4 linked regions of the Pelodiscus sinensis genome follow. Each later gene encodes a partner of the first gene's protein in a complex. Links are inferred from orthologs where the notes say so. Each region holds a gene or a part of one and is shown in the gene's direction. Other genes may lie near its edges. The genes, in order: GPSM2, FRMPD4, NUMA1 and INSC.

Region 1 (7,306 bases):
GGGACCCCCCCCCCCATACATCTGTTTCTTAGGTTCTTCTTCTGCTTGCCTACCTCTGAGGGACTGCAAAGCATTTCCACTGTGAGCTTTGGTTGCTCTATGTTTGGACACCACAGCACTCCCTGCAATGGAGCTGGAGCTGCCTCTGGGCATGTGACAGCCCCTGACTGTGCTGCAGTTTCTTCAGGCTGCCCTCCATGCCCTGCAGGAACATGATCCCAAGCTGTGAGAGAACGTGTCTGGGGCAGCTCTTTCAGGCACACCCCACTGTGGAGCACTGCTTCTGGTGGCTAGACACCAGTTCCTACTGGTAGGGCTGGCTAATGATGGAGCGGTGGGACGACCAACAGTGGCTCCAGAACTCTGATATGAGAAAGATGATGTTCCTGGAGTTGTGTGCCTGGCTCACCCCAGCCCTCACACGATGGGAAACACAAATGAGACCCACCATCTCCCTGGAAAAGCAGGTCACCTCATGATTTGGAAGCTCACCACGCCTGAAAATTTCTGATCTGTTGGATATCAGTTCAGCATGGGGAGCCTTCCTACAGGGCTGGGGGGCAGAGGCCAGCCAGGAAGGAAGGATGTTTGAACAGCCGTGCACAGTTGCAATCCTCCAGGCCCATAAAGTGGAGGTGCTCATCTGGAAGGTCCTGAGGGAGAGTTTCTTTCAAAGACCCCAGTAACTCTCCCTAGGACCTCCCCACTAGGGGCCTGGGCCCACTGTACCTTTCCTACCACAATCCTTCCCTTTCCTGTACAATCAATAAAGACACCAGTTTTGAGTTGAAAAACAAAACCTTTGTATTTTTTCATAATAAAAGCCACTGGATGGGAGAGGGTCGGGGGAGAGGCTCAGGGCTGGGAGTGGCACGTGGTATGCCTGGAAGTGCTGCTGCTAGAGGGACTCTAATGTTATAATGTTGATCTGTTCGTAATGTTTATAGTGCAATTACTGTGTACAGAATTTGGGTAAGGTGCACACTTAAAATGGCGATTGTCATCAGTGACTGGAAAACATGTTGTTTAACTTTAATCTGGACTGAGTTTTCTTGTGAGGAAAAATCACTGGTGACAGATACAGTGTCAGGGGATCTCCCTTCTGGTAACCAGAGCACTTAATATCTTCGATCAGATCCTTATCCTAAATTCTAAATTAATTCAAAAGATTCTACTTGTTACTGAGACTCTGGGGTAACACCGCCTTGGGTCCAGGGACCTCAGCAGTGTGTGGGACCTGGGACAACGGGAGGGGAGGGAGGGGGGAAGTGCACAGGCAGCCAACTCTGACACAGTGAACCTCCATTTATCAGGATTAGCTCCCTCTGGACCAGGGGCTGCGAAAGGCCCCTCTGGGCCAATTGCTGGTGCAAAGGCAGAAAAGTGTGACACAGTGAACCCCCATCTATCAGGATTAGCTCCTTCTGTAACCATAAATGGATAAATGGATGGGTAGCAAAAACTGAGCAAAGCAGAAACTGACATACTAATATGTCAGTAACTGCTACTGGGAGCCGATTGTGAGCAACTGCTTGTGACGCTACACTGGCCTGATGCTGCTCCGCTTTTCTCTCTCAATCACCACCCGCCTTGGATGGGCGATTGTCTTCATGCCTTCAGCCATAGTTTTTCCCTTTGCCTTCTGCAGCAGGTGCGCTTGGTGGGCATGTCTCGCAGTGAGGTTTTACCATGGGCAAGCCCAAGCTGCTGGCTTTGAGGGGTCATTGTCTCTCTACAGGTAAAAATCACCTTGCAGGGGGTGGAAGTGCTGGTTGCCAGACTGAGAGGAGAAGGGCCACCCTGCTGGCCAGGCAGGCGGCATTTCTTTTTCTCTGTGCAAAAAGGTGGTGGCGGCAGCAGCGCTGTCCCCATTGGGGCCCAGTCTCCTGCGTGACAGGCAGGGATATTCAGCACTATCCTAATAAGAAAAGGAAAATGGCAGACTAGCATTATAGCATTGAGGTGATTGGAGAGTTTATGGATGGTGCTTTTTGTTCTATGGGCTTTGCACCTGTCTCCACAGGGAAATGAAAAGGGAAATTCTTCCTCCCCTGGCGGGGGGTAGTGGAAATGCGGAAGACGATTGTGAGGTCGAGGAAATTAGGTGGTGTACCACAATCATTCCTTTTGTGCCTGCATTTTCTTACAGGCCTGGATGCTCTAGGTAGCCATTTGTGCTTTTTGCTTCTTATTATTCCTTTGTTATTCTCAGAGAGTTAGCTGTTTGCTCAAGATGGTACAGTGTAGGAATGCACCTGGTATGGGAGTGCAGGAGAACTTGGGAAGATCACATAGCTATCTTTGCTGAATGTTTCCCACCTGAGAATGCTAATTATTTGGCCTGGGAAAAGTACCAACAAGCTAATTATTGTTGGTACCAACAATATGCAAAGTACCAACAAGCTAATTATTGGATGTGGAAAAATATGCAATGTATCAATGATGTGCCCGGTGGGGTGAGGGGGGAATGGAAAAGAAAATCCTTCCTTCCCCTCACTTGTGCCTGGCAGGAATGAAAGGGGAAATCTCTCTTGCCCTGGCGGAGCTAATGCACGGCGAGCAAAAGGAGCCAGGGCCTGAACTCGCGGCCTCGGCATTATTAGCACCACACGGTAAGCAACTGAGCTAACTGGCCAGTGAGAGCAAACGTGTTTCCCACGTTTTAATTCCGGCAAGCTCAATGCTCCCCACTTCCCTGCACCAGGACAGAGAGAAAGCGGCTCTGCTCTTCGCAGGGCAGTTTCTGCAGCATTTTCAAACCTGTGGCAGCCCGTGCCCGGAGGGAGCCATTAGCACGTGCAGGGCAGTTGGAGTCTGAGGTGCAGGCCAGGGAGGCACCTGGCACGCTGCTCCAGGATGCGACATGCGGGGCAGATAATCAAAAGGGGGACCAGCGGGGGAACCCTCCTGGGCACTAGAGCTGGCGCATGGGTGGGGCGGAGTTAGTGGGGCTCGAGCTGCCATAGGGGGCAATAGGGACAGTAGTGCGGGTAGGTCACTCTGCCAGCTCCACTAACCTCAGCATGAGACCCACAACTACTCATGCTAGCACTGCACGTATCCCCCACCCGGTCACTGCCGTGGGCCTTGCCCACAGTACTCCGCATGACATCCGACACACATCGGCGTTCCCTTATTGCACAGGCGCCAACGTGCACCTGGGGGGGGGGGGAGGGCGGAGAAGAGTGCCCAAAGCTCCACTAGTCCCCTTGCCGGTGGTAGATACACCCTTTGAAAGGGTAGCACTGGACCTGGTTGGACTTCTGGAGGGTGGGGATACCCCAAGACATCCTAACGGACCAAGGGACAAACGTGTCCAGCTGAGTAATGGCCGAGTTGTGCAAGTTGTTGGGGGTGAAAAAGCTCTGGACTACAGTCTACCACCCCCAAACAGACGGGCTGGTGGAGCGTTTTAATCGTACTTTGAAATGGATGCTGAGAAAATTTGGAGGGCTGGACCCCAGAGCCTGGGACCTGTTCCTGTCAGCCCTCTTGTTCACTATACGGGAGGTCCCCCAGGCCTCTACCGGGTTTTCGCCCTTTGAGCTATTATATGGCCGACAACCATGGGGTATCCTTGACCTCTTGAAGGAAAACTGGGAAGAACAGGTGGCAAGGCGGGGAGCACTTCTCTCCTTCCCACAGCTACTGGGGCTCAGGATGGTGGAGTAGCCCTCAGGAGACGCTCGCCTTGTCCACATAGGTAGTGGCACCTTCACAAGTGCAGCTGCACCTGTCAGTGTAGATAACTGGTCAGAGAGGTGGACTAAGAGTAGGAAAGGAGAACCCCGCCTATGGGGATAGGTGGCCGCTGTACGGCAGGCAACAGCCCTGCCGCAAATCTCCCTCCCCAGGGGAAAGGGACAAGCCCCCCCCCCCCCCCGACAAGCTCCTTACTGTCCCGCCCACAGCTAGAGTGGAGCATGACCACGCCCCCAAATCCACTGAGGAACGGGGCCTGCCACTCAGCCCTCCTCCCTCCATTGCGGGAAGCACCACCCCTCCCCCCTTGCCTCCTGGCTCCCCCTCATTCCCCGGGCGGCCCCACACGAGGCACCTCTTCCCCTCCCCACCGCACTGACTACGCGACCTCCCGCCCTAGAACAGGACCAGAGCCCACTCAAAGCCCGGCCTCCCATTGGCCAGCTCTGCCCGGCGTCAGAACGAAAACGGTAAGGAACTCTTGACGCACGCGCAGAACGCGACAGTGGCGGAGCCGTTGGGTTTCCTTGCCACAGGGGGAGGGGAACGACATTGGTGTAAGAGCGTCGGCGAAAGCGGCGCCTGCTATTGGCGAGTTCGAAGTGGGTGCGCAGGGGGGGTGGAGCAACGTCTGTTGGCAGCATCGGGGTTCCCCCCCCTTCTTGCGCTGCAGCGGGTGTCGCTGTGGGGTTGGTCAGTAGCGCGGTGGGCGGGGTGTTGCTGCGGGGGTGTGCGAGACGGGCGATCGGACCAGGAGGAGTCCGGCAGCTGCGGGCGACCCCAGTACTGAGGTGAGGCGAGGCCAGGCCAGGCCTGGGGCGGGCGGGGCCGCACTCCGAGCCCAGCAGCCCCGGACAGAGCGGCCCTAGGGGTGAGACGTGGGCAGCTCGGGGCGCTGCTGGGGCAGTGTGAGGTGTCGCGTGGAGAGTTGGGGTATCGACTGTGCAGGCAGCAGCTTTGGGGGCGCCAAGGGGCAGTAGGTGACTCAGGGTATCGCTGAGGGCAGGTGTGGGGGGTTGAGCTGGAGCGGCCGCTGAGAGGGGTATCGATTACTGGGGGGGCGAGCTGGGGGAGGGGCAGACGATGGGGGTGCGAGCTGACTGGAGGGAGGGGGTGTCGAATACTGGAGGTGGGGGCTGGCTGGAGGGGTGGGGGCTGAGCCGGGGGTGTCGAATACTGGAGGTGGGGGCTGGCTGGAGGGGTGGGGGCTGAGCCGGGGGTGTCGAATACTGGAGGTGGGGGCTGGCTGGAGGGGTGGGGGCTGAGCCGGGGGTGTCGAATACTGGAGGTGGGGGCTGGCTGGAGGGGTGGGGGCTGAGCCGGGGGTGTCGAATACTGGAGGTGGGGGCTGGCTGGAGGGGAGGGTGCTGAGCCGGGGGTGTCGAATACTGGAGGTGGGGGCTGGCTGAAGCGGGTCGTTGACTGGTTGGGGGCACAAATTAATGAAGATGGAGGTTTTCTGCATGTGGGGTGCTAAGCTGTGAGGGATCAGTTAGGGAAAGGTGATGAGTTGAGGGGGGTGATATATGCAAAGAGATGTGTGATGCTCTTGGGGTAGGGGTGGTGAACCCAAAACGGATGCATGTGCCAGTGGTTGTGGGCATGAGAGCTACTGTTCCTTGTGGATTTTATCCCAGTCCAGCACGCTGATATTCCTTTCCACACAGAGCAACATGCAGGGCTCTTGCTCTAGAAGAAATAACTAATTAATTTCTCTGCAGTAGTGATGTGAGGGACTGGTTGCTTCCTCCCCTCCCCCTTTGCTGCCTCTATCAGAAAGAGGCATCAAGAGGGGGACAGGAAGGGATACGAAGGGGGTACTTGAAAACAGCAGTGCTGCTTGAAACCTGGGCCAGACCAGGTGTCCCCAGGCTACATGCGGCATTTCAAAGCGACAGTGCCGTGGAACCGCTGATCTCGGGCTCTACATGATGCTGCCACTTTAAAACATTTTAGGGAGCCCAGCATGAGGCTCCTCCCAGTGTTTCAAAGAAGCAGTGCTGCCTGGAGCCTGGGATCAGCTGGGGACTCCCCCACTTACCCTGGGCTCCATGCGCTGTTGCCATTTTGAAACGCTGCAGGGAGCCCAGTGTTCAAAGTGGCAGCACCGTGGGGAGCCCAGGATCAGCTGTAGTCCCCAGCAGACCCTGGGCTCCCTGCACTGCTGCCCTTTTGAAACTCTGTTGCGACGTTTCAAAGGGGCAGCAGCAGTACAGCTGAACCCGGGCTCCACGCTAGCACCTGCAATTAATGCATGTTAATTTTTGTAATGTGTTAATTCTGCCCTGTGTTAATCGCAGGCATTAACATGCGTTAATTGACAGCCCTAATATGGTAGTATTCCCATATGCAGAACCTTCTCTGATGTTATTTCCTGATTTATTATACTCAGTGTTCATCCATCTAATCTTGGAGATGACATATGGTCTTCATTTATGCATCCTGATATGACTAATTTAACTGGTGTGTAGCAAGTCCTGACTGCGATGGAGCTGTCCCTGTTAGATACTCCCACTGAGTCAGGGAGCATGCCAGTGCCAGCCCCTCTCGCTCACATAGGTTGTACTGTGCCTCTCCCTCACTCGGTGTTTTGGAAGCCTGGGCGAGCGGCCTCAGATTTCCCCCTTTCTTCTGTAATAAGACAGTCCCCAAACTAACAAGAGCAGTAGGTAATTCTAAGTAGAACGGAGTTCCCTTTGTGGATGAGCTAGCGCGGGTGCTGTCACTAGTACTTGTTCTAACCTCTTAAAAGTCTCCTGCTCCTTTTTTCCCTACACTAAGGGTTGTTCTTTTCTCAAGAGCCAGTGAAGCAACCTTGTTAACCTTGTGCAATTTTCTATACAATTTCTGGAGAGTCCCAAGGAAAACCATAGGGCAGAGATCTCTTGGGGAATGGGGAGTTTGGTGATCAGGTCTGCCAGGGTTAGCCCCTGGATGGCCCCACGCTCTACTGTATTTATCTGCACCTCCACAGATACAACTCCTGTTGGCCATGGATTGCTGTTCCCAGCCAATGGGATCTGCGATTGCCCATACCTGCAGTGGTGCAGATAAATATAGTGGCAGCAGCCCACCAGGAGCTAACCCTGGTGAATTGCTGCCATTTTATTGCTCATCCCTGGGCTGGAGTCTGGATGCTGAGACTGAACGTCTATATTGCTATTTTTAGCTTGCACAGTGAGCCTGAATAAGTTGACTTACATGCTAAGACTCACTGCCACGTTATTTTTTCTTCTGTGTAGACTTGTCTCCAAAAATGAAATTTCTCCCATTGGAACAAACGCCACATTGCCTGAATCCCTTTAATCTTAGAAAATCTAAACCCATATGAACGCCTAAGGTACTTTTACACACATCTAAGGTACGTTTACAGTGCATGCTGAGCCTTCCATCCATCCATAAATCAGTCTAACTTGGGGTTAGTAAGTACTCAGGGCCCAGTCGTAGGGTACGTCTAGACTACAGGGTTTTGTCGACAGAAGTTTTGTCGACAGATACTGTCGGCAAAGCTTCTGTCGACAAAGAGAGTCTACACTACATTCAGTTCTGTCGACAAAGCAAGCTGCTTTGTCGACATGGCAGTGTAGACGCAAGGACAGTTTAC
Region 2 (7,049 bases), on another chromosome or scaffold:
GGTGGATGTCCAGTTTAGACTTTTGACAATTGAACATCTTTATTCAGAAGTCAAAATTTAGGATGGTTACAACTAGCATCAGTAAGGGAATGTGGTTTATGGCTGTGAAAATAAAGGATGCCTATTTTGATGTAGATAATAATTTATCCCACGGACAGTTTAATTGGTTCTTGATAGATCAAGAACACTACCAGAGTCTTTCCTTTTAGACTAGCAACAGCTCCCAGGGTTTTCACAAAAGTCCACTGTGGCCCTCAATTTTAGTAAGAACTTTCCTCCCCATAGAAAGATTTCAATCAATGAGCAATCTGATATCACATATTACTTGGAAACCAGAAACTACGGTCAGAATACACCTGTATCTACTAGGCCAAATGGCCTCGATGTGATGCCATTTGCCAGACTTCATTTACACTGCCTATAGGCTTGGCTCTGAGCTATCCATCCACTCCCCATACAAGGACTACATGAACGGCAGAGTGACTTTTCTCACTTGCTTCAGGGAGTGACCGGTGTCCTGACCAGCCATGCAGTCTTTTGTCTGGTGAATGGATGGAACAAAGCGAGGCCTTTAGGCAGTGAAATTGGGTCCAGAGTCACTCTAACAAAAGTTATAATCCTTGTGAGGGTCACAGTGGACTTGTGCATGCAACTGACAAGTACTGCTCAAAGATGGAACAGGAACAAAGTCACAAACTTTACCACATTGCTGGAGTGACCTATTTGGAGTCAATCATCCATGTATGAGAAGACTGGGTGGCCATGACATTGCATCTGGGCTGCCACCACGGAGAAAACAGAGACATTTCTTTGCCTGGCCATAACCCAAACCGTCTTCCTCGGACTCTGCAGATATTTCAATCATTTTTGGTTATCTCCTGTCACTGAAGAATTCAGGTTTTTTCCCTTTGCTTATTGCAAGCCCATCAAGCAGTGTTCAGTGCCTTCCTTCATGTAGTAGATAGGCATTCAATTTTTACTCACTGAACAACAAATTCCTGAAGGGCCTAGTCAGGACCTTTCTGCCCGTAATCAAGCCTACAGTTCAATAGGAAGAAATAGAGCTTACTTACCTGCGGCCAGAAATTCTTCCAGATGGGCAGTGCCTATGTGTATTCCATTATCCACCCCATTGCTTTGGATCCTGTTGGAGTCATGCTAAGAAGAGGAATTGGAGAGGTGTTGGCCTATGCTGCTTCTTATGCACTTGGTCTAGAATATAAAGAGAGGGTGCATGTGTGGGCCATTAAACACTGCTTGTGAAGAATCTCTGAACTTGGGCATATAGTGTAGGCATATACCCAACATGTGGAACACACGTAGGAACCAAGCATCTTGAAGGACTCCAATTACAATTAAGTAATCTCTGTTCTTCAAGAGTTATAGATACATTTTTATTAAATTTTCTATTTAGTTTTGATCTTAAAATCAATGGAATAGGAAATGTCTACAAATGAGCTCAAAGCATTGGTCATGAAAAAGAAAAGCAAAAATTCTAAGCAGAGCCTTTGTTTTTCAATCTTTCCACTGAATACAAGTGAACTAAAGCTAGCTGTGTCATATACCTTAATAGCAGTAGGAATTTATGAGTTTCACAGAGTAGTAGTACCTGTTAAAATAAGAGGCATTGAAAACTGCACTACTAGTAACCTTCTGGGTGTGTCTTTAACATTGAGCTGAGCATTTTGAATTTAGTCATGGTCTTTGTTGTTCAGTATACAGGCAGTCCCCGGGTTACGTACAAGATAGGGACTGTAGGTTTGTTCTTAAGTTGAATCTGTATGTAAGTTAGAACTGGCAACCAGATTCAGCAGCTGCTGAAAGTGACCAGCGGCTGACTACAGGAAGCCCGAGGCAGAGTTGCTCTGCCCCGGGCTTCCTGGAATCAGCTGCTGATCAGTTTCAACAGGCTGAATCTGGATGCCAGTTCTGACTTACATACAGATTCAACTTAAGAACCCCAGGCGTCCCCAAGTCAGCTACTGCTGAAACTGATCAGCGGCTGATTCCAGGAAGCCCGGGGCAGAGCAACTCTGCCTCGGGTTTCCTGTAGTCAGCGCTGGTCAGTTTCAGCAGCGGCTGACTTGGGGACACCTGGGGCAGAGCAGCTGGGGCTGAATCAGGACGAATGAATGGGGCTGAATCAGGAGGAGCAGCGGCTGAATCAGGACGCCTGGGGCAGAGCAGCTGGGGTACTGCCTGGTTGGTCCCGTAGCGCCCACTAGCTGTGCCCTTCCCTCCCCCCCCGCCACAGCAGACCTGGGAGACGCGGGCGGCGGACTGAGACGCACCGCGGTCCCGCTGCCTGCGTGCTCTGCGGCTTTGCTCCCCGTCTCCCTGGTCTGCTGGTCTCCAGCAGACCAGGGAGACGGGGAGCAAAGCCTTGGATGACGCTGGCAGTGGGACAGCCGTGGCGCGTCTTGGCTGTCCCGCTGCCCGCGTGCTCCGCGGCTTTGCTCAGCATCTCCCTGGTCTGCTGGGGGGGGGTTCCCCCCCCAGCTGACCAGGGAGACGCGGAGCAGCTTTTCTCGCCCCGGAGTACGCGGGAGGCGGGACCGCGGCTCATCTGCGCGTCCCGCTGCTCCCGTCCTCCGGGGCGAGAAAAACCCCGTTCGTAACTGCGGATCCGACGCAAGTCGGATCCGCGTAACTCGGGGACTGCCTGTACATAAATGGAACTGAGTTCAGGTTACAACCCACCTGTTTGGGAGAACTGATATTAAAAATCTCAGAGGGATATCTGTGTTAGTCTGTAACTTTAAAAACGAATAATCCTGTGGCACCTTAGAAACTTACAAAAATATATATAGTATCATGAGTTTTACTCATGAAAACTCATGATACTATATAAGGTGCCACAGGACTTCTCATTTGTATTAAAAATGGCATTCCGATAAAATGCCAAATCTGGCTCTCATGCAGTCTTGTTGCCAGACAGACCTGAAGAAGAAGTTTATGTAAGCTCGAAAACCTGTCTGTCTCTTCAGCAGAAGCTGATCCAGTAAAAGATATTACATCACCACCTTGTGTCTCTAATAAACCTGGATGTTGACAATATAGGAAAATCAAAGAAAATGGTGCATCCATGTGAATGCACTTAAAAATACACCTCTTTGTTTCTCCTTAGGATAGCTTTCATTTTTGTTTTTAAAGCCTTTTACTTGTGGTCCCATGCATTACTATTTTGACCTCTCTGCTGGCATAAATGACTGAGCAATTGAAAATCAAAGCAACATGGTGGGATTGGTAGATATGCATGGTAGGTAGGAGCCAGGTGATTGCAGTGATAGAATGCAGCATATTAAAAGATGTGATGGGTGAAGAAACTGATTAGGAATGAAATCCGCTTATTATCCAGTGATATAACACTGCCATATTACTCATTTTCTTATTCCATTTTTGACAGTAACTCTAAATTGTTTCTCTTTGTATCCAAGGGTTGACAGAGTGGAGGAGGAAAACTAAAATTACAGCACATATTGCTAATGCATTGTAATTGCTTTAATCTCAGAGAGCTGGACCATCAGGACTTAGATAATGTACTGCTAGGATACTGATGATAGGCTTGGTGGGAGTGCTGAAGCAGAACGTATATTTCCTAAACTTTTGTCATTTATTATAAAAAATATTCTGTAACCTATTTTCCAAGGTCTAAAATGAAGTATTATTATGTGAAGACTGTCAGTTCAGGTAAATGTAACTCTACTGGTAGCTTAGCAAAGACAACACGAAGAACAAAGCAACATTCTTTACGTAAAGAGTGCACTGATTGACATGCCTGCTAGAAATGGAAATGTGCAGTTTTTAAGTTTATTGCCACAGGCTGGCTGGCCCTTTAAGGCTCAACCTTGCCTGTGACGTAGCAGCTAGCTTCCAGCCAATAAGGATGTGCCAATTTAAGGCTAATTAGTGACTCAGTCTGAGAAGGGATTAGGACAAGACTGTACAGGGTGGAGAACTCAATTTGTGGGAGGGGAGAAGAATAAAAAGAAAGCAAAACTTTTCTGTGGGAAGGAGAACGAGCATAGTTCCTTTGAGGGAGGCCCTCCGATAGGTCAGTAAAAGCATTTTATAGGAGCCCACAGGAGGTGGGAGACTTATTAGGTCAGCTGGGGTGGGAGAAGCCCAAGGTTTAAGTAGTAAAGGGAGGCTGTGTTAAACACAGGCTGCAGAGAAGCAGCCAAAGGACCTTACAGGTAGGAAGCGGCCCAGGAAAACAATAGCATGTCTGAAGGAACAGTCTTAGGTATTTAATGCAGGATCTTTGGGCTATGTTCCCCTACCAGCCCCTGAGAACAGGACATGCAACTGCATAAGCAGATGACGGCTCCTGTGAGAGAGGACCTGAGGGAGGGTCAATGAGAACACTGAATGTCACCCAAAAGAAAAGGAGTGGAAGAATTATTATTTGGACTTCACACCTTTGAGTTCTAGTTGGACCCTTTGTTATGCCACGTGTGATTGAGCTTTAAGCGAATTGGCTAATGGGCCAAACCATGGGAGGTGCAGTGAGAGGCAAACAGCCAGTAGGAGGTTCCGGAGACAAGGAAGACACTGTGGGTGATGAGTACATCACCTACATGAAAATATGCTCACTTCAACTGGATGCCGTGAGTCTTTGTCTGGCTGCAGAAACAAAGAAGGTGAAACTTTCTTAGGGAGCAGCACTCAAAGGAATGAATTGTAATGAGTGGGGAAAGAGAACACACCTGGACAGAGCCTGGTGGAAAGGACAAGGCAGGAACAGGTATGGAAAAACAATAGCCCAACAATCTGGAGAGAGGGGGGCGGATCTTTATACCATGCACCATGGTAAGAACTCTTTCTGTCTAGGGCCAACAACACCCACCCGTAGGATTAGTATAAGGCCAGGTTTGTATGTTAAGGATGGGCATTTCACTAGTCACTTGTTCCTTTGGGGGCTAGGAAGGAATCTTTCTTGCTCTTCTATCTTGGCCACATGGAGGTGCCTTCCCCACAGCTGGTAGGGAAGGAAGTTAGGCCAGATGATGAGTTTAGCAAGTGCCCTAGACAGGTAAACAAGCTATGGAAGGGGTCGTGCGGGAAGGCATTCCCTAAGAAAATTGGAGGAAGTAGGGTTGGGTAGTGTAAAGTCTGATACTGCAGGAAGGCAACTTCCTCTGCTTTTCCCTGAGTCTCCCCCGTCATACCATGGAGACTGACAGGGTCCCTTGAAAGAATCGTGTTGAGAAGAGTGAGGGCTGATGGCAGCCCTCCCAAATAAGTACAAATGATGAAGGAAGTAATGCTGAACTGAACAGAATGATTATTGCCACGTGTTCCCAGGTACGTTAAGTGAATAAAATTACAATCTAATTTAACCAGATCCATCCGTGGGCTTGGGACAACAATGTAATCCGTAGACATATCTTAGATAGATCAAGATATGTCACTGTTTCTAGTGTTTGGATACTTAGTTTCAATTTGTTCTCTGATATGAATGTATGCGCAAGTAAATATTAGTAACTTAAAATGAAAGGGAAAATATCATTTTAATTTGATCTTTTTCTAAATCATAAAATTCCATGCTACTGCTGAACCCTCCACGCTACTGCTCCCCCCTCTCTCTTTAAAGCTTTAACTAAGACCACGTTTCACCACATTAACATCAATACACTCAAAATTGTCAAAATGACCATTAGCCCACTATGTGTGACGCATGAGCATATCTCTGTATTTTATACAGTACTTTACACAGCTCATGTTACGGAATTCATTATGGTGCTTGGTTTAAAATGGAGGAACATATTTCAACCTTATTTGTATATGGCGTAAGGAAGATTTTACTTCTACAAAGCAAATGTCACATATGCATTTTTAATATAATTTGCACTTTTGATCATTATTGTTTTAATATGTAATAAAAATAAATTGTCTAAATCGCCAGTAAATTAAATACAGCCTGGAGCAGGGCCAATGATCAAGCAGAGGGCCATGTGGGGGAAAGTGACAGCACCCACCTCACATTGGCCCTGCTTCTCTGTTTATTATCCAAAACATACTACAGCTGTTGCTAATCAAAACAAGAAAAAACCCTAAGAAATATTATGATTTGTAAAGTAATATCTGAAAGACTGCAATGGGCTTTTTCTAGTTGTGGTTTTGACAGTCTTTGGAAACAGCGGGCTGATTTAGTGATCTGGTCTTTTAGTAACATTATCATCAAATCATATCCCATGGAAGTAGGATTAGAATCTGTCTGACAACATACCATATATTTTGACTGCCAAGATAAGGAGAGGTCAGGTAATGAAGGAAGTAGCTCCGCAGTGAGCTTTAAAAAAGCTATTAATCGTGTGCTCAGATGATTTTTTTACAGACTGTATAATTTGAAGGAAAAAATATAATTGTTCATTACTACAAAGTACTGTAAACTTAAAATGCACAATGAAGCAGTTTGCTCACAAGACTCACACATCATCCAGTGTTACCTCAAGTGTTTTATTTAATGCTTTCTCTGAGACTTATTTGGGCAAGTTGCACACTTATGAATAATTTTATCTGCCGTTATTTTTAAAGGAATCCTAAAGACCACTGGCATACACATCTAAAATTAAAGTTATCTGATGTGTATGATTTTGAATGCAATGTGAGTGATGCGTGGGGGATGTTATGGCATAACTTAGCACTGCGCTATCTTAGAATTAATTTTGCACGGTCAGGCTTAGTTAAAATTACATTGTCAACTTAAATCACGTTTTGGTCTGCAAATATTTGCCTGTGATTTTAAAACTGAAAGAAGATAAAATGATTTCTTTATTTTTTTCAGTGTATTTGTATCTTGCTTGTTTTGACAGCATTTTGTGTAAATGTGCAAATTTCCATCTCTTTCTCTCTCTCTCCTTTCCCTTCAAAGCTTTCTTCTTTATTCTTTGATAACTTTCTGGGAAACTTCTTTGGAGCTTCAGTTTTCCAGCACCAAATACCAGAGTAGCTATTGAAGGAGATTTCTTCAACTGATATTTGAGAGTGGTTTTATGCTTACGGTGAAATTTTTCCTTCTGAAAACCACCCTTGAGCTAGTGTTT
Region 3 (7,167 bases), on another chromosome or scaffold:
GCAGACCAGATACCAGTTTTGTATCTGCACAGGGCTCCACCATACTGTCCATTGCCTGGGAGATTTGTAGGCTACCAGCACTTTAAGGTACTCTGATACCAGGGTGAGGACTGAGGAGGTCCATATAAGAACCTGTCTTGCCTAGTTATGGGAAGAGCTGCCATGCTTTCCGTTCAGTCATGCCAGAAATGGATGCTGCTTCATCATAAGAACATAAGAATGACCACACTGGGTCAGACCAAGGGTCCATCTAGCCCAGTGTCCTGTCTGCTGACAGTGGCCAATGCCAGATGTCCCAGAGGGAGGGAACAGAACAGGGAATCACCAAGAGATCTCTCCCCTGTCACCCATTTCTAGACTCTGACAAACAGAGGCCAGGGACACCCTCCCTGCCCGTCCTGGCTAATAACCATTGATGGACCTAACCTCCAGAATGTATCTAGTTCTTTTTTGGACCCTGTGAAAGTCCTGGTCTGCACAATTTCCTGTTTGCTTTTTTGATGGCTGCTGCACACTGTGTGGATGATTTCAGAGAACTATCCACAATGACTCCAAGATCTCTCTCCTGAGTAGTTGTAGCTAAATTAGTCCCATCACTTTATATGTGTAGTTGGGATTATTTTTCCAATGTGCATTGGTATCGATCAACATTAAAATTCATTTGCCATTTTATTGCCCAATCATAGTTTTGAGAGATCCTTTTAAAGCTCTTGCCAGTCTTCTTTGGTCTTAAGTATCTTGAGCAGTTTAGTAACCTTTGCAAATTTTGCCACCTCACTGTTTACCCATTTCACCAGACCATTTAAATAGGTTAAATAGGATTGGTCCCTGTACGGACCCTTGGGGGCACCACTAGTTACCTCTCTCCATCAGAAGTGAGGCCCAGGGAACCGGGAAGTTGACTGCAGCTGCACACCCAAGCTGCTGCCTGCACAGAGTTGCACACCCAGTTCACAGAGCTGCACGCTCTGTGACATCATAGATTTATATTTACAGCACTGTGATTTCACATGGCATGCCCTTGAATAATTAGTATGCTCAGAACCTGGCTTTTCACACACACTTTGTTCTGGCATCGCCTTTCACACTCATCAAGCAATTACCTGGATTTTCACACACACACTCCAGTGTCCTGCACAGATTTTCACACCCACTAGCCTCAGAGCCCACTTTTCAAACTCACTAGTGTCCTGAAGATTTTGACGCCCACTAGCTCCAGACATCTTTGTTCACATTCACCAGAGCCTTGCACAGATTTTCATGCCTACTAGTCCTGGTCCCCTTCTCTCACACACACACTTGCAAAGATTTTCACAGTCAGTAGGGGCTGCAGTGTTCTGGCCCCCAGTGGCTCTATGGCTGTGTCCCGACTCCATGCCTCCGTCGACGGAGGCATGTAGATTAGCCAGCTCGGAAGAGGGAAATGAAGCCGCGATTAAAATAATCGCGGCTTCATTTAAATTTAAATGGCTGCCCCGATCTGCCGATCAGCTGTTTGTCGGCAGATCGGGAGAGTCTGGACGCGATGCCCCGACAAAGAAGCCTTTCTTCATCGACACAGGTAAACCTGGTTTCACGAGGCTTACCTGTGTCGATGAAGAAAGGCTTCTTTGTCGGGGCATCGCGTCCAGACTCTCCCGATCTGCCGACAAACAGCTGATCGGCAGATCGGGGCAGCCATTTAAATTTAAATGAAGCCGCGATTATTTTAATCGCGGCTTCATTTCCCTCTTCCGAGCTGGCTAATCTACATGCCTCCGTCGACGGAGGCATGGAGTCTGGACACAGCCTATGTGCTGCTGCCCCCGCTAGGCAGAAGCAGCAAGCACCAGGAAGTGCCATCTGTATGCTTGCCTCACCTGAAGGCTCTGCCCCCATAGCTTCTATTAGCAGAAATCCACAACCAATGGGAGCTGCGGGGAGGAGGAGGGGGGGTTGCTGGCAAGCACAGGGCAGCGCATAGAGCCACCTGCTCCCTCCCCTCCCCAGGGCCTGCTCCACTAGAGGGGAGCTGCCGCAGGGAAGTACCTTGCATCCCAACTCCCTACCTGGCCTGGCCCTGAGCCCTCTACTGCATCCTAACTCCCACCCAGACCCCACATCCCTATCCCCGGAGCCCCTCTCCTGCATCCCAACTCCCACCCCAGCTCTGAGCTCCTCCTGCACCCTAATTCCCATCCCAGACCCCACACCCCACCTCCTATCTTAATCCCCCTCCTGCACCCTAACTCCACCCAGACCCTGAACCTCACCTCCTGCCCCGGCACAAATTCCTGTCCACCCCCACCTCCACCTTCCACACCTAACTCTCGCCCAGACCCTGCATTCCCATCCCCACCTCTTGAGCTGAGTCTGTTCCTGCACTCCAAAACCCCTTGGCCCCAGCCTGGAGCCTCCTTCTGCATCCCAAATCCCTTATCCCCAGCTCTACCACAGAGCCCTCACCCCCTCCTGTGCCCCAACCCTCTGCCCCCACTTGGAGCCCCCTCTTGCACTATGAACCCTTCATTTTTGGCCCCACCTAGAACCTAGGGAGACCCACAAAATCTAATAGCCCTGGGCCCCAAAAGAGTTAATCCATCCCTGTCTCCAGACTTCTCTTTTCACACCCACCAGAACCCTGCACAGATTTGCACACCCACTGGTTCCAGGCATCTCATTTCACACCCACCAGAGCTCTGCACAGATTTGCATACCCACTGGTTCCAGACTTCTCCTTTCACACCCACTAGAGCCCTGCACAGATTTGCACACCCACTGGTTCCAGGCATCTCCTTTCACCCGCACCAGAGCCCTGTACAGATTTACACACCTACTGGTTCCAGACTTCTCCTTTCACACCCACCAGAGCCCTGCACAGATTTGCACACCCACTGGTTCCAGGCATCTCCTTTCACACTCACCAGAGCCCTGCACAGATTTGCACACCCACTGGTTCCAGACTTCTCCTTTCACACCCACCAGAGCCCTGCACAGATTTGCACACCCACTGGTTCCAGACTTCTCCTTTCACACCCACCAGAGCCCTGCACAGATTTGCACACCCACTGGTTCCAGACTTCTCTTTTCACACTCACTAGAGCCCTGCACAGATTTACACACCTACTGGTTCCAGACTTCTCCTTTCACACTCACCAGAGCCCTGCACAGATTTGCACACCCACTGGTTCCAGACTTCTCCTTTCACACTCACCAGAGCCCTGCACAGATTTGCACACCCACTGGTTCCAGACTTCTCCTTTCACCCCCACCAGAGCCCTGCACAGATTTGCACACCCACTGGTTCCAGACTTCTCCTTTCACCCCCACCAGAGCCCTGCACAGATTTGCACACCCACTGGTTCCAGACTTCTCCTTTCACACTCACCAGAGCCCTGCACAGATTTGCACACCCACTGGTTCCAGACTTCTCCTTTCACACTCACCAGAGCCCTGCACAGATTTGCACACCCACTGGTTCCAGACTTCTCCTTTCACACCCACCAGAGCTCTGCACAGATTTGCACACCCACTGGTTCCAGACTTCTCCTTTCACACCCACCAGAGCCCTGCACAGATTTGCACACCCACTGGTTCCAGACTTCTCCTTTCACACTCACCAGAGCCCTGCACAGATTTGCACACCCACTGGTTCCAGACTTCTCCTTTCACACCCACCAGAGCCCTGCACAGATTTGCACACCCACTGGTTCCAGACTTCTCCTTTCACACCCACCAGAGCCCTGCACAGATTTACACACCCACTGGTTCCAGACTTCTCCTTTCACACCCACCAGAGCCCTGCACAGATTTGCACATCCACCAGCCCCTGGCCCCTCTTTTCACACTCAGTGCAAACATTTTCACACTCACCATCTCTGCTCCTCTCTGCCCCCCTATCTGGAACTCGCGGGGTCGCTATGGTAACCAGCATCACAGCAAAAATTCCACCCCGCCCACACTCCGCAAGGCGCGCTGGGAAACGTAGTTGCCGGGAGGTCTTTGGGAACCACATTTCCCAGGGGGCCTGGTGGCGAGAGTTCCCTCACCTCTCGCGGGATCCACTCGGGCCTCACCGCCCATGGGCTCCTGGGAGTTGTAGTTCCTCCCCTCACGTGATCGGCGCGGGCTGACGCGCGCCCGGCCTGCAGCCAATAGGGAGGAGGGAATGGGGGGCGGCGCAGCTGTTTGAATCGGTGAGGGCCGCGGGGCCGCGCGGGGGGAAGCTGCGGGACTGGGCCGCGCCGCTTCGGGCAATACGGTAAAATACGGTAACGGGGGCCGGGGCCGCGCCGCGGGGGCGCTCGCCCCACTGGGGGAGGAGGAGCTCGGGATGGGGGAGCGGGGGCGGGGTGAGGGGGGGAACTGCGGGATGGGGGAGTTGGGGGGCAGTGATTTGGGGGGCGGGGTGATGGGGGGGAAGTGCGGGATGGGGGACTTGGAGGGGTGGTGATTTGGGGGGCGGGGTGATGACGGGGGAACTGCGGGATGGGGGAGTTGGGGGGGCGGTGATTTGGGGGGCGGGGTGATGATGGGGGAACTGCGGGATGGGGGAGTTGGGGGGGCGGTGATTTGGGGGGCAGGGTGATGATGGGGGAACTGCGGGATGGGGGAGTTGGGGGGGTGGTGATTTGGGGGGCGGGGTGATGGGGGGGAAGTGCGGGATGGGGGACTTGGAGGGGTGGTGATTTGGGGGGCGGGGTGATGACGGGGGAACTGCGGGATGGGGGAGTTGGGGGGGCGGTGATTTGGGGGGCGGGGTGATGACGGGGGAACTGCGGGATGGGGGAGTTGGGGGGGCGATGATTTGGGGGGCGGGGTGATGGGGGGAAGTGTGGGATGGGGGAGTTGGGGGGCGGTGATTTGGGGGGCGGGGTGATGGGGGGAAGTGCGGGATGGGGGACTTGGAGGGGTGGTGATTTGGGGGGCGGGGTGATGACGGGGGAACTGCGGGATGGGGGAGTTGGGGGGGCGGTGATTTGGGAGGTGGGGTGATGGGGGGGAAGTGTGGAATGGGGGACTTGGAGGGGTGGTGATTTGGGGGGCGGGGTGATGACGGGGGAACTGCGGGATGGGGCAGTTGGGGGGGCGGTGATTTGGGGGGCGGAGTGATGGGGGGAAGTGTGGGATGGGGGAGTTGGGGGGTGGTGATTTGGGGGGCGGGGTGATGGGGGGAAGTGTGGGATGGGGGAGTTGGGGGGCGGTGATTTGGGGGCGGGGTGATGAGGGGGAACTGTGGGATGAGGGAGTTGCGGGGCGGTGATTTGGGGGGCGGGGTGATGGGGGGGAAGTGCGGGATGGGGGACTTGGAGGGGTGGTGATTTGGGGGGCGGGGTGATGACGGGGGAACTGCGGGATGGGGGAGTTGGGGGGGCGGTGATTTGGGAGGTGGGGTGATGGGGGGGAAGTGTGGAATGGTGGAGTTGGGGGGGTGGTGATTTGGGGGGCGGGGTGATGGGGGGGAAGTGCGGGATGGAGGAGTTGGGGGGGCGGTGATTTGGGAGGTGGGGTGATGGGGGGGAAGTGTGGAATGGTGGAGTTGGGGGGGGGGTGATTTGGGGGGCGGGGTGATGGGGGGGAAGTGCGGGATGGAGGAGTTGGGGGGGTGGTGATTTGGGGGGCAGGGTGATGATGGGGGAACTGCGGGATGGGGAGTTGGGGGCAGGGTGATGGGGGAACTGCGGGATGGGGGAGTTGGGGGGGCGGTGATTTGGGAGGTGGGGTGATGGGGGGGAAGTGTGGAATGGGGGAGTTGGGGGGTGGTGATTTGGGGGGCGGGGTGATGGGGGGGAAGTGCGGGATGGAGGAGTTGGGGGGGTGGTGATTTGGGGGGCAGGGTGATGATGGGGGAACTGCGGGATGGGGAGTTGGGGGCAGGGTGATGGGGGAACTGCGGGATGGCGGAGTTGGGGGGCGGTGATTTGGGGGGCGGGGTGATGATGGGGGAACTGCGGGATGGGGAGTTGGGGGCAGGGTGATGGGGGAACTGCGGGATGGCGGAGTTGGGGGGTGGTGATTTGGGGGCGGGGTGATGACGGAACTGCGGGATGGGGGAGTTGGGGGGCGGTGATTTGGGGGGCGGGGTATGACGGGGGAACTGCGGGATGGGGGAGTTGGGGGGCGGTGATTTGGGGGGCGGGGTATGACGGGGGAACTGCGGGATGGGGGAGTTGGGGGGCGGTGATTTGGGGGGCGGGGTGATGATGGGGGAACTGTGGGATGAGGGAGTTGCGGGGCGGTGATTTGTGGGGCGGGGTGATGACGGGGGAACTGTGGGATGAGGGAGTTGGGGGGGTGGTTTGGGGTGGCTAAGAGGATGGTGTTGAGAGGGGGCTAAAGGGGTGCGTGGCCTTCGGGGGTTACCTGTCCCCAGACAGCTGGGTCCCTGCAGCCTGTCTCTTCTGTGCTCCTCTCAGGACCGTGCTTGAGGAGCTGAACTGCTCCCGTCCTGACCTGCAGGCGCCCCCAAGACACTGCAGTCCCTGGTGTCAACCTTGGACAAGTGCCTGCCCTTCCACCCATGGCTGGCAGGGAAACTTCCTGCTGTCATTTCCCTGCCAGGCAGCTATGCCCTGCCAGCAAGGGGCAATCAGTTTTACTCCTACCCGCCTGCCTGGCAGCCAACTGCGTTTTCAGGGGATTTCCCCCCCAACATCTGCAAAAGCTGGCTGAAAATACCCCGTTCTGTGGTCTGTGCCTAGCCGGATAAAGCTTGTGGAGTGCGCTTGGCAGAGACGTGGCAGAGGCTGCGGGTTGGCTTGGTCTGTGTCATTCTGCAAGTGTGGACTGCGAGGAGGGTGTGAGTGTTGTTGAGCATGAGTTTGCTGGAGTAGCTCCATGCACAGGAATGGACAGATGTTATCCACACTTCTCCTGTGCAACTTCATGGTCTGAGAGGCTCCTCTGTTTTCTTGAATGGCTCCAATTTAATCTGTCCAGTAAGCTGTCCTTGCTTTGAGCCACTCCACCACGGAAGGTGCACCTGTCGTGCACCTGACACTCCTGTACTTTTGGCCCCTCACCCTTTCTCCAGATTGTGAGCATGTCTGAGATGCCAAACAGTCCCTGAGAAGGGGACTGTTGTCTCTCTTCCTAGCATGATTTTAATTACTTGGCAAACTACTTGCCTGTACCTCTGTCAGGAAACACCTCAAGCATTATTTTGAGTGATTCTCCCCCTCTCCCACA
Region 4 (7,953 bases), on another chromosome or scaffold:
TGGCATCAAAGAAATTTGGTGGGATAATACACATGATTGGAATGTTTGTATAGAAGGGTCCAGCTTGCTCAGGAAGGATAGACAGGGAAAAAAGGGAGGAGGTGTTGCCTTATACATTAAAAATGAACACATTTGGAGTGAGGTGGAGGTGGGCATAGGAAACAGAAATGTTGAGAGTCTCTGGGTTAGGCTAAAAGGGATTAAAAACCAAGGTGATGTCATGCTAGGAGTCTACTACAGGCCACTTACCCAGGTGGAAGAAGTGGATGAGGCTTTTTTTTAAACAACTAACAAAATCATCCAAAGCCCAAGATTTGGTGGTGATGGGGGATTTCAACTATCCAGATATATATTGGGAAAATAACACTGCGGGGCACAGACTATCCAATAAGTTCTTGGACTGCACTGGAGACAACTTTTTATTTCAGAGAGAAAGCTGTTCTAGATTTGATCCTAACAAATAGGGAGGAACTGGTTGAGAATTTAAAAGTGGAAGTCAGGTTGGGTGAAAGTGATCATGAAATCAAAGAGTTCACAATTCTAAGGAAGGGTAGAAGGGAGAACAGCAAAATAGAAACAATGGATTTTGGGAAGGCGGATTTTGGTAAATTCAGAGAGCTGATTGGTAAGAGACTGAGAGGAAAAACAACTGAGGAGAGTTGGCAGTTTTTCAAAGGGACATTGTTAAGGGCCCAAAAGCAAGCTATTCCGATGTGTTGGAAAGATAGAAAATATGGCAAAAGACCACCTTGGCTTAACCACGAGATGTTGAATGATCTAAAAATAAAAAAGGAGTCATATAAAAAATGGAAAGTAGGACAAATTACAAAGGATGAATATAGGCAAACAGCACAGGAATGCAGGGGCAAGATTAGAAAGGCGCAGGGGCAAGATTAGAAAGGCAAAGGCACAGAATGAGCTCAAACTAGCTATGGGAATAAAGGGAAACAAGAAGACTTTTTATAAATACATTAGAAGCAAGAGGAAGACCAAGGAGAGGGTAGGCCCACAAGTCAGTGAAGAGGGAGAAACAGTAACAGGAAACTTGGAAATGGCAGAGATGCTCAATGACTTCTTTGTTTCGGTCTTTACCGAGAAGTCTGTAGGAATGCCTAACACAGTGAATGCTAGTGGAAAGGGGGTAATTTTAGAAGGTAAAATAAAAAAGAACAAGTTAAAAATCACCTAGAAAAGTTGGATGCTTGCAAGTCACCAGGGCCTGATGAAATGCATCCTAAAATACTCAAGGAGCTGATAGAGGAGGTATCTGAGCCTCTAGCAATCATCTTTGGAAAATCATGGGAGACAGAAGAGATTTCGGAGTACTGGAAAAGGACAAATACAGTGCCCATCTATAAAAAGGGAAATAAGAACAACCCAGGAAACTACAGACCAGTTAGTTTAACTTCTGTGCCAGGGAAGATAATGGAGCAAGCAATTAAGGAAATCATCTGTAAACACTTGGAAAGTAGCAAGGTGATAGGGAACAGCCAGCATGGATTTGTAAAGAACCAATCATGTCAAACCAATCTGATAGCTTTCTTTAATAGGATAACAAGTCTTGTGGATAAGGGAGAAGCAGTGGATGTGGTATACCTAGACTTTAGTAAGGCGTTTGATACGGTCTCGCATGCTATTCTTATCAATAAACTAGGTAAATACAACTTAGATGGTGCTACTATAAGGTGGGTACATAACTGGCTGGATAACCGTACTCAGAGAGTAGTTATTAATGATTCACAATCCTGCTGGAAAGGCATAACAAGTGGGGTTCCGCAGGGGTCTGTTTTGGGACCGGCTCTGTTCAATATCTTCATCAACGATTTAGATATTGGTATAGAAAGTACGCTTATTAAGTTTGCAGATGATACTAAGCTGGGAGGGATTGCGACTAATCTGGAGGATAGGGTCATAATTCAAAATGACTTGGACAAATTGGAGAAATGATCTGAGATAAATAGGATGAAGTTTAATAAAGACAAATGCAAAGTGCTCCACTTAGGAAGGAACAATCAGTTTCACACATACAGAATGGGAAGCGACGGTCTGGAAAGGAGTACGGCAGAAAGGGATCTAAGGGTTATAGTGGACCACAAGTTAAATATGAGTCAGCAGTGTGATTCTGTTGCAAAGAAAGCAAACATGATTCTGGGATGTATTAACAGGTGTGTTGTGAGCAAGACACGAGAAGTCATTCTTCCGCTCTACTCTGTGCTGGTTAGGCCTCAGTTGAAGTATTGTGTCCAATTCTGGGCACCGCATTTCAAGAAAGATGTGGAAAAATTGGAGAGGGTCCATAGAAGAGCAACAAGAATGATTAAAGGTCTAGAAAACATGACCTATGAGGGAAGGCTGAAGGAACTGGGTTTGTTTAGTTTAGAAAAGAGAAGATTGCGGGGGGACAAGATAGCAGTCTTCAAGTATATAAAAGGGTGTCATAAGGAGGAGAGGGAGAAAACTTGTTCATCTTGGCCTCTGAGGATAGAACAAGAAGCAATGGGCTTAAACTGCAGCAAGGGAGGTTTAGGTTGGACATTAGGAAAAAGTTCCTAACTGTCAGGGTGGTCAAACACTGGAATAAATTGCCCAGGGAGGTTGTGGAATCTTCATCTGTGGAGATATTTAAGAGTAGGTTAGATAAATGTCTATCAGGGATGGTCTAGACAGTATTTGGTCCTGCCATGAGGGCAGGGGACTGGACTCGATGACCTCTCGAGGTCCCTTCCAGTCCTAGTATTCTATGATCTTATTTTATATTATAGTGAGACTCAGTGGGAGAATGGGGGAATATACTTGGGATGCTATTTAATAATAATAAATACTAATTAATGTGATAATGGCAATATCATTACCCAAACAGGTATTAGACCAGTTTGAGGTCTTGAGTATTTGTTAATGATATGCTAGACCTCTAAGGGCCTATAGCTACTGTGAAATGATCACATAGGGCATGTCTATTTTGAAATAACAAGGTGAGCGCCCACACAGCAAGCCTGTTATTTTAAAATTATTTTGAAATAATGGACTTTTTATTTCAAAATAAACCTGCATTTCATGATGATTAATGCTTATTTTAAAGTAGCTATTTCAAAATAGTGGTGGTATGGACGCTCCACTGCTGCTATTTCGAAATAAGTCCTCCCCAGGCCCTCCTGGGCCTCCAAACTGAGGTAGCATGTCCACATTAGGGGAGCCTGCCTTAGACTAATTTCGAGGCTCCCCTGTAGTGTGGATGTGCTATTTTGAAATAGTTATTTCGGGAGTTATTTTTCCAAAATAACTTATTTTGAAATACCCAGGTAGTGTAGACATTCCCTTAGTGCAGGCATGTCCAAAGTCCGGCCCGCGGGCCAATTGCGGCCCGTGTTCTGGTTTAATACGGCCCCCGCTTCCTCCCCCTCTCCTGGCTCCCCGGCGCTCTTTTGAACTGGCGCGCCCAGCGGCCGCTTCCGGCCACGCTGCCGCCGCCCATGGCCTCCGCAGTCCTAGAGCCTGCCCTGTAGGGCACGTCCGCAGCCCCGCTCCCCCGCTCGGCTGCGGGTTCGCCCTGCCCCCGGGCCGCCGTGTCCTGCGCTCTCCGCCTGCCTCCGACCCCGCGGGCCCTCCGCCTTGGGGCTGAGGGTGCGGGGACGGCCCTCACGCATGTTCACTTCTTCAAATCTGGCCCTCTTTGAAAAAAGTTTGGACACCCCTGCCTTAGTGGAAACTCTCTGAATGGTCCCATTCACATGAAGCCATAATTACACCTCCTCACAATCACTCATTTCTAATATCCTCAGAGTCATTGCAGTGTTTGAGGAGTGAAGAATTCCTTTATCTTTAAAGCAGGAAGGACCTTGGAACCTTTAAAACCTATAGAACATTTGCAGACTGGCAAAAATCTTGATTGATGGGAAAGGCTCTGAGGCATCATCTTTGTCTGAAAGAAGCTGAAGTGAATGTATGTCACAGTAGCTGCTACAATGCACTCTTTTTACCAGAAAGAATTCGAGAGAGAGAGCGCGAGCCTCCGCCTCCAAGGAAAGCTCAGCTATAGAAATCTGCTTTGTATTTTAATATCATTTCCATGCTTTTATTTTATAGCTTGTTCCAACAATTGTTAATTCTTATTCAGGCCAATTTTAATTCTTCAAAAAGTATGTTTTAAAAAAATTGTTCCCACCAACATTGTTGAAAATGTTTAGCAGGTGGAATAGCTCTGATGCTTGTAAAGCAGGGTTGAGCAAATCAGATAAAATAAAATATGAATAAAATTTGTCCAAAAGCTTTCAGCCAAAGTTTTTCTGAAGTGTCAGTAAATTTAAATATTTTTTCTGAATTCTTTTTTCATTTCTAGGTGCATCTAGACTTTCAGTCTCCTGCCTAGATCAGAAGGAGAAGAGTCAAACAACACAAATGTATGGAACTTATTCCAAGTTCCTTTGCAGCAATTGTTTTTTTTTCCTTTTTAAGACAGAGCTTTTATTTAATTAAATGTCTGTTAGCCTTTTCTAATTATTACATAACAACGAGAACCTGCTGTAAGCATCAGGTAGGTACAGCTTCACCCGGAAGTTCAGAGCTCTATCTTCCAAAACCTTTTGTCTTTGTAGCCACATTCCACTACCTTAGACAATGACCAAATATGCGACCAGGGTCATTTCAACATCCATGTAACCAGAAACCTAGCGCGTGCTAATGTCAAACCTTGGAGTTATAACTAGGTAAATAAAAACCATTAGAAGATAAAGAAGTTAATATGAATATGCTTTATTAATTTGTAAAAGTGTAACTTTATTAAAACCATAACATTTACACTGCTGGTTTCAATGAATTTGAACCTGAGAAACTGAGAGTGTAGCTCAGCCCTCCAGGGAAGTTACTATTTCTTTAAATGATTTGCTGATTGTGAGCTGTAGTGTGATGCAGGCAGAAGAAGAGAGATCACAGAGCTGGTAGCTCAGAGAGAGGATGAAGACAGTGACGTGAAAGCCATGTGGCTGTGAAAGGCATTGCGCTGGTTTTTGTTCTGTTCTGACTAACTTAATTGAAGAAAGCGTATTTTGAGTGAATGATCCCATTCTATGTGCAAAGGAGAGATAAATCGTGAGTAAATAGAGCTAAAAATGGGGAAACTTTAAGAACTGAAATGATATGTGACTTCTACTGCAAGAAATCTTTGTAAGGAAGAGACTGAAGACCTTAAATATCTGGGAAACAAAAATGAGTTGGTTTTAACCAAAACCTGTAATTTACTAGATTAATGGTCTGCAAAGATATGGTTTAGTACTAAGAGAAGGTTGGTAAGTTAGAAAAAAAAAAAGAATATTGTTCAATGTATATTGACTTGTCTAATTATATGTAGGACTTATTTCCTTGAGACTAAACTGCTTTAAAAAAACAGTATTGGGTGTGTCTGTCTAAATGCATTTAATGTTGGAAACATGTAATTTCCACATATGGTATCATTTAGTTGTTTTAAAAGGAACAAAAACAAATGTATTTTTTAAATACAGTTACGCCTCTCGCTCCCTTCCTTACTTGATAAACATGCAGAAGCGCATTTCTACAGATGATGTCAGATTATATCTATAGTGATATAAAATTAACATTTGGCATTTAAGGTAACTGTTGTCTATCATTTGTTTGTGTGTAGTTGTGAGGGGAATAAAAGAGACTGAATAGTTACCTGGGGACAAATCCTGAGTGCTACACATGGCTTTACTAACTTTCTTAAAATTTCTGAGCTCACTGCCTTCATTAAAATTGGGAAGCAGACATGGAATTTTCCAAATTAGGTCCTAGATGGGAATTTTCTTGTATGCCACATTCTATTAGAGTCATTGCTTTTAGGGTGTAACAGAGAGCCCCAGAAGCTGGGAGCAGGGGCCGGCCAGGAGTCTGGTGGCAGAGTGGCTGGTAGCTGGGAGCAGAGCCAGGTTGGTGGCTGGGGCCTGGAGTATAATCGGGGTTGGGAGCACATTCAGGACTGGGAGTGTTGCCAAGGCTGGTAGCCACGGTTGGTGCCGGTACTGAGAGTGTGGCTGGGCCCAGCAGCTGGGGCCAGAGCTGGAGGTGTTGCCAGGGCCAGCGGCTGGGGCTGGTGGCTGGGAGTCTGACGCTCCACCCTGGGCAGTGTGGAGACTGGCAGCAAGGGGCCAGAATTGACCTCCCCAATCTAAATTCCCTCATTATGGACCTGTCCAGTCCCAAGGTTGCTAAGGGAGGTCCAACCTGTAGTAACAGCAGTTGGAAGACTAGGTAATCATTCACTTTTGGCAGAGTGCAGTGATTCAAATTTGGTTCTCTATGTTGCTCTCTCTGTTTCTTTGAATACTTTGGAAATAGTACTGACTGGTCTTCCAGCTGACCATGGCCAAGTGCATATTCTTCCAGAGTCAATCAGGTGATGGGTGTGAGTGAGGTAAAACTGTTAATTTTTAAATGGACAGAGTGTCATTTACAACAATATCTGTCATAGTATTCCATATTCTGCTATTCATCCTACATCACTTTTGAAAACTGGCTTCAGAATCTGGCAAACATGAAGAAAATAACATTTTTCCTGATGCAGGTATATATGCTGGTGTCCTATAACAGGGTGTACTGCACAGTACAGATGTGTCCAAAGCCAAACACTGCTGTTACTGTCTGTGCCTGAGGACTGACCCATTCTGTGGGTTGTAATTCCCAAAGAGGCTGATGGGAATGTAGCAGTGAGTGGAAAGGCCTACTGGGAAGTGGGATACAAGGCGCAGCTATTTCCCAGTGTGGGAGAGAGCAGCAGCTTGCCGACAGAGCTCTCTCAGTGACTGAAGTATAGGAGGAAGGCCCAGAGGCAGTACTCCCAACTGAGACAAAAGGAGAGGAGGAGGATGGAGAGGCCTAAGAGAAGGCCTTGCAAGCAATATAGTAAATAGCAATGGACGGGGAGAGGGAAGAATGAAGCAGTTAAGTCTGAAGCTGGACTTGATGAATCAAGATGATCAAAGGAATGGAATGTCAGCCATATGAGCAAAGACTGAAGGAGCTTCAGTATGTTTAGTTTGGAAAAGAGAGGATTAAGGAGGGATGTGATAGCAGTCTTCAAATGCTTGAAAGGCTGCTATAAAAATGATGGAGAAATGTTGTTCTCTCTTGCCACAGAGGGCAGATCAAAAGACAATAGGTGCAAATTACATCATAGAAGATTTAGATTAAATCTCAGGGGAAAAAATGTAACTGTGATAACAAAGACAATGGACCAGACTACCTAGGGAGGTCGTAGAAGCTAAAGAGGCCATCTGTTTTGAATGGTTTAGATACAACCCCACCTGTATCTTGGCCAGGAGATAGACTAGATGACCCTTGTGGAAAGGCAAGGGGAAAAAAAAGAGCTCAAACTAGTTACAGGCATAAAGGGAAACAAGAAGACATTCTATAAATATATTAGAAGCACGAGGAAGACCAAGGACACAGTAGGCCCATTGCTCAATGAGGAGGAAGGAACAGTAATAGGAAACATGGAAAAGGCAGAGATGCTTAATGACTTCTTTGTTTCAGTCTTCACCAAGAAGTCTGATGAAGAAATGCCTAACATAGTGAATGCTAGTGGGAAGGGGGTAGGTTTAGAAGATAAAATAAAAAAAGAACAAGTTAAAAATCACTTAGAAAAGTTAGATTACTACAAGTGACGAAGGCCTGATGAAATGTTTCCTAGAATACTCAAGGAGCTGATAGAGAAATGGTCTGAGGTAAGCAGGATAAAGTTTAATAAAGACAAATGCAAAGTGCTCCACTTAGGAAGGAACAAGTTGATCTGAGGAAGTGGGTCTGGCCCACAAAAGCTCATCCCCTACTAAACCATCTTATTTGTCTTTAAAGTGCTGCATAGTCTTGTCTTTAGTCATCTAAAAGGAAGCCACTGACCAGTGAAGAAACCGAGGCATAGCTGCATCCTGACAGCAACAATTAAGGGGCCTGCTACACAGCGCT

What was found.
Region 2: the proteins of GPSM2 (region 1) and FRMPD4 are in contact, whole or in part, in a crystal structure (PDB 4WND), measured with the Homo sapiens proteins. The link is inferred for Pelodiscus sinensis from reciprocal best matches to the Homo sapiens genes GPSM2 and FRMPD4. Residues at the interface, in NP_001307967.1 of Homo sapiens: Leu25, Ala28, Leu29, Glu32, Asp57, Lys59, Thr60, Ser62, Ala63, Ile64, Ser66, Gln67, Asn70, Phe73, Tyr74, His85, Asp88, Ala92, Gly100, Lys103, Asn107, Asn110, Thr111, Lys113, His128, Arg143, Tyr146, Asn147, Asn150, His153; in NP_055543.2 of Homo sapiens: Gln988, Leu989, Leu990, His991, Ser992, His994, Met995, Glu996, Met997, Glu998, Pro999, Glu1000, Thr1001, Met1002, Glu1003, Thr1004, Lys1005, Ser1006, Val1007, Thr1008, Asp1009, Tyr1010, Phe1011, Ser1012.
Region 3: the proteins of GPSM2 (region 1) and NUMA1 are in contact, whole or in part, in a crystal structure (PDB 6HC2), measured with the Homo sapiens proteins. The link is inferred for Pelodiscus sinensis from reciprocal best matches to the Homo sapiens genes GPSM2 and NUMA1. Residues at the interface, in NP_001307967.1 of Homo sapiens: Ala28, Leu29, Glu32, Cys35, Lys36, Phe47, Lys59, Thr60, Ser62, Ala63, Ile64, Ser66, Gln67, Asn70, Ala71, Phe73, Asn110, Lys113, Tyr146, His153, Lys157, Pro164, Gln165, Arg203, Gly206, Asn207, Asn210, Tyr213, Leu214, Arg228; in NP_006176.2 of Homo sapiens: Ser1901, Phe1902, Tyr1903, Met1904, Gly1905, Thr1906, Cys1907, Gln1908, Asp1909, Glu1910, Pro1911, Glu1912, Leu1914, Asp1916, Trp1917, Asn1918, Arg1919, Ile1920, Ala1921, Leu1923.
Region 4: the proteins of GPSM2 (region 1) and INSC are in contact, whole or in part, in a crystal structure (PDB 3RO3), measured with the Mus musculus proteins. The link is inferred for Pelodiscus sinensis from reciprocal best matches to the Homo sapiens genes GPSM2 and INSC. Residues at the interface, in NP_083798.2 of Mus musculus: Asn210, Tyr213, Leu214, Phe218, Arg242, Ser246, Asn247, Asn250, Ile253, Phe254, Tyr265, Gln283, Tyr286, Ser287, Asn290, Thr291, Thr293, Leu294, Arg323, Trp326, Ser327, Asn330; in XP_006507722.1 of Mus musculus: Val72, Asp73, Ser74, Val75, Arg77, Trp78, Met79, Asp81, Leu82, Lys83, Leu84, Met85, Thr86, Glu87.

The regions. Positions count from the first base shown.
Region 1 is NC_134719.1:43,946,058-43,953,363, forward strand, and holds the start of GPSM2 (G-protein-signaling modulator 2), read left to right. Parts: upstream 1-4,300; 5' UTR 4,301-4,493; exon of another isoform or gene 4,494-4,573; intron 4,574-6,944; exon of another isoform or gene 6,945-7,063; intron 7,064-7,306. UniProt on the Homo sapiens protein: Plays an important role in mitotic spindle pole organization via its interaction with NUMA1. Required for cortical dynein-dynactin complex recruitment during metaphase. Plays a role in metaphase spindle orientation.
Region 2 is NC_134711.1:214,148,781-214,155,829, reverse strand, and holds the start of FRMPD4 (FERM and PDZ domain-containing protein 4), read left to right. Parts: upstream 1-4,042; 5' UTR 4,043-4,676; coding exon 4,677-4,747; intron 4,748-7,049. UniProt on the Homo sapiens protein: Positive regulator of dendritic spine morphogenesis and density. Required for the maintenance of excitatory synaptic transmission. Binds phosphatidylinositol 4,5-bisphosphate.
Region 3 is NC_134711.1:325,289,907-325,297,073, forward strand, and holds the start of NUMA1 (nuclear mitotic apparatus protein 1), read left to right. Parts: upstream 1-4,152; 5' UTR 4,153-4,240; intron 4,241-7,167. UniProt on the Homo sapiens protein: Microtubule (MT)-binding protein that plays a role in the formation and maintenance of the spindle poles and the alignement and the segregation of chromosomes during mitotic cell division.
Region 4 is NC_134714.1:109,568,619-109,576,571, forward strand, and holds the start of INSC (protein inscuteable homolog), read left to right. Parts: upstream 1-4,950; 5' UTR 4,951-5,085; intron 5,086-7,953. UniProt on the Homo sapiens protein: May function as an adapter linking the Par3 complex to the GPSM1/GPSM2 complex. Involved in spindle orientation during mitosis. May regulate cell proliferation and differentiation in the developing nervous system.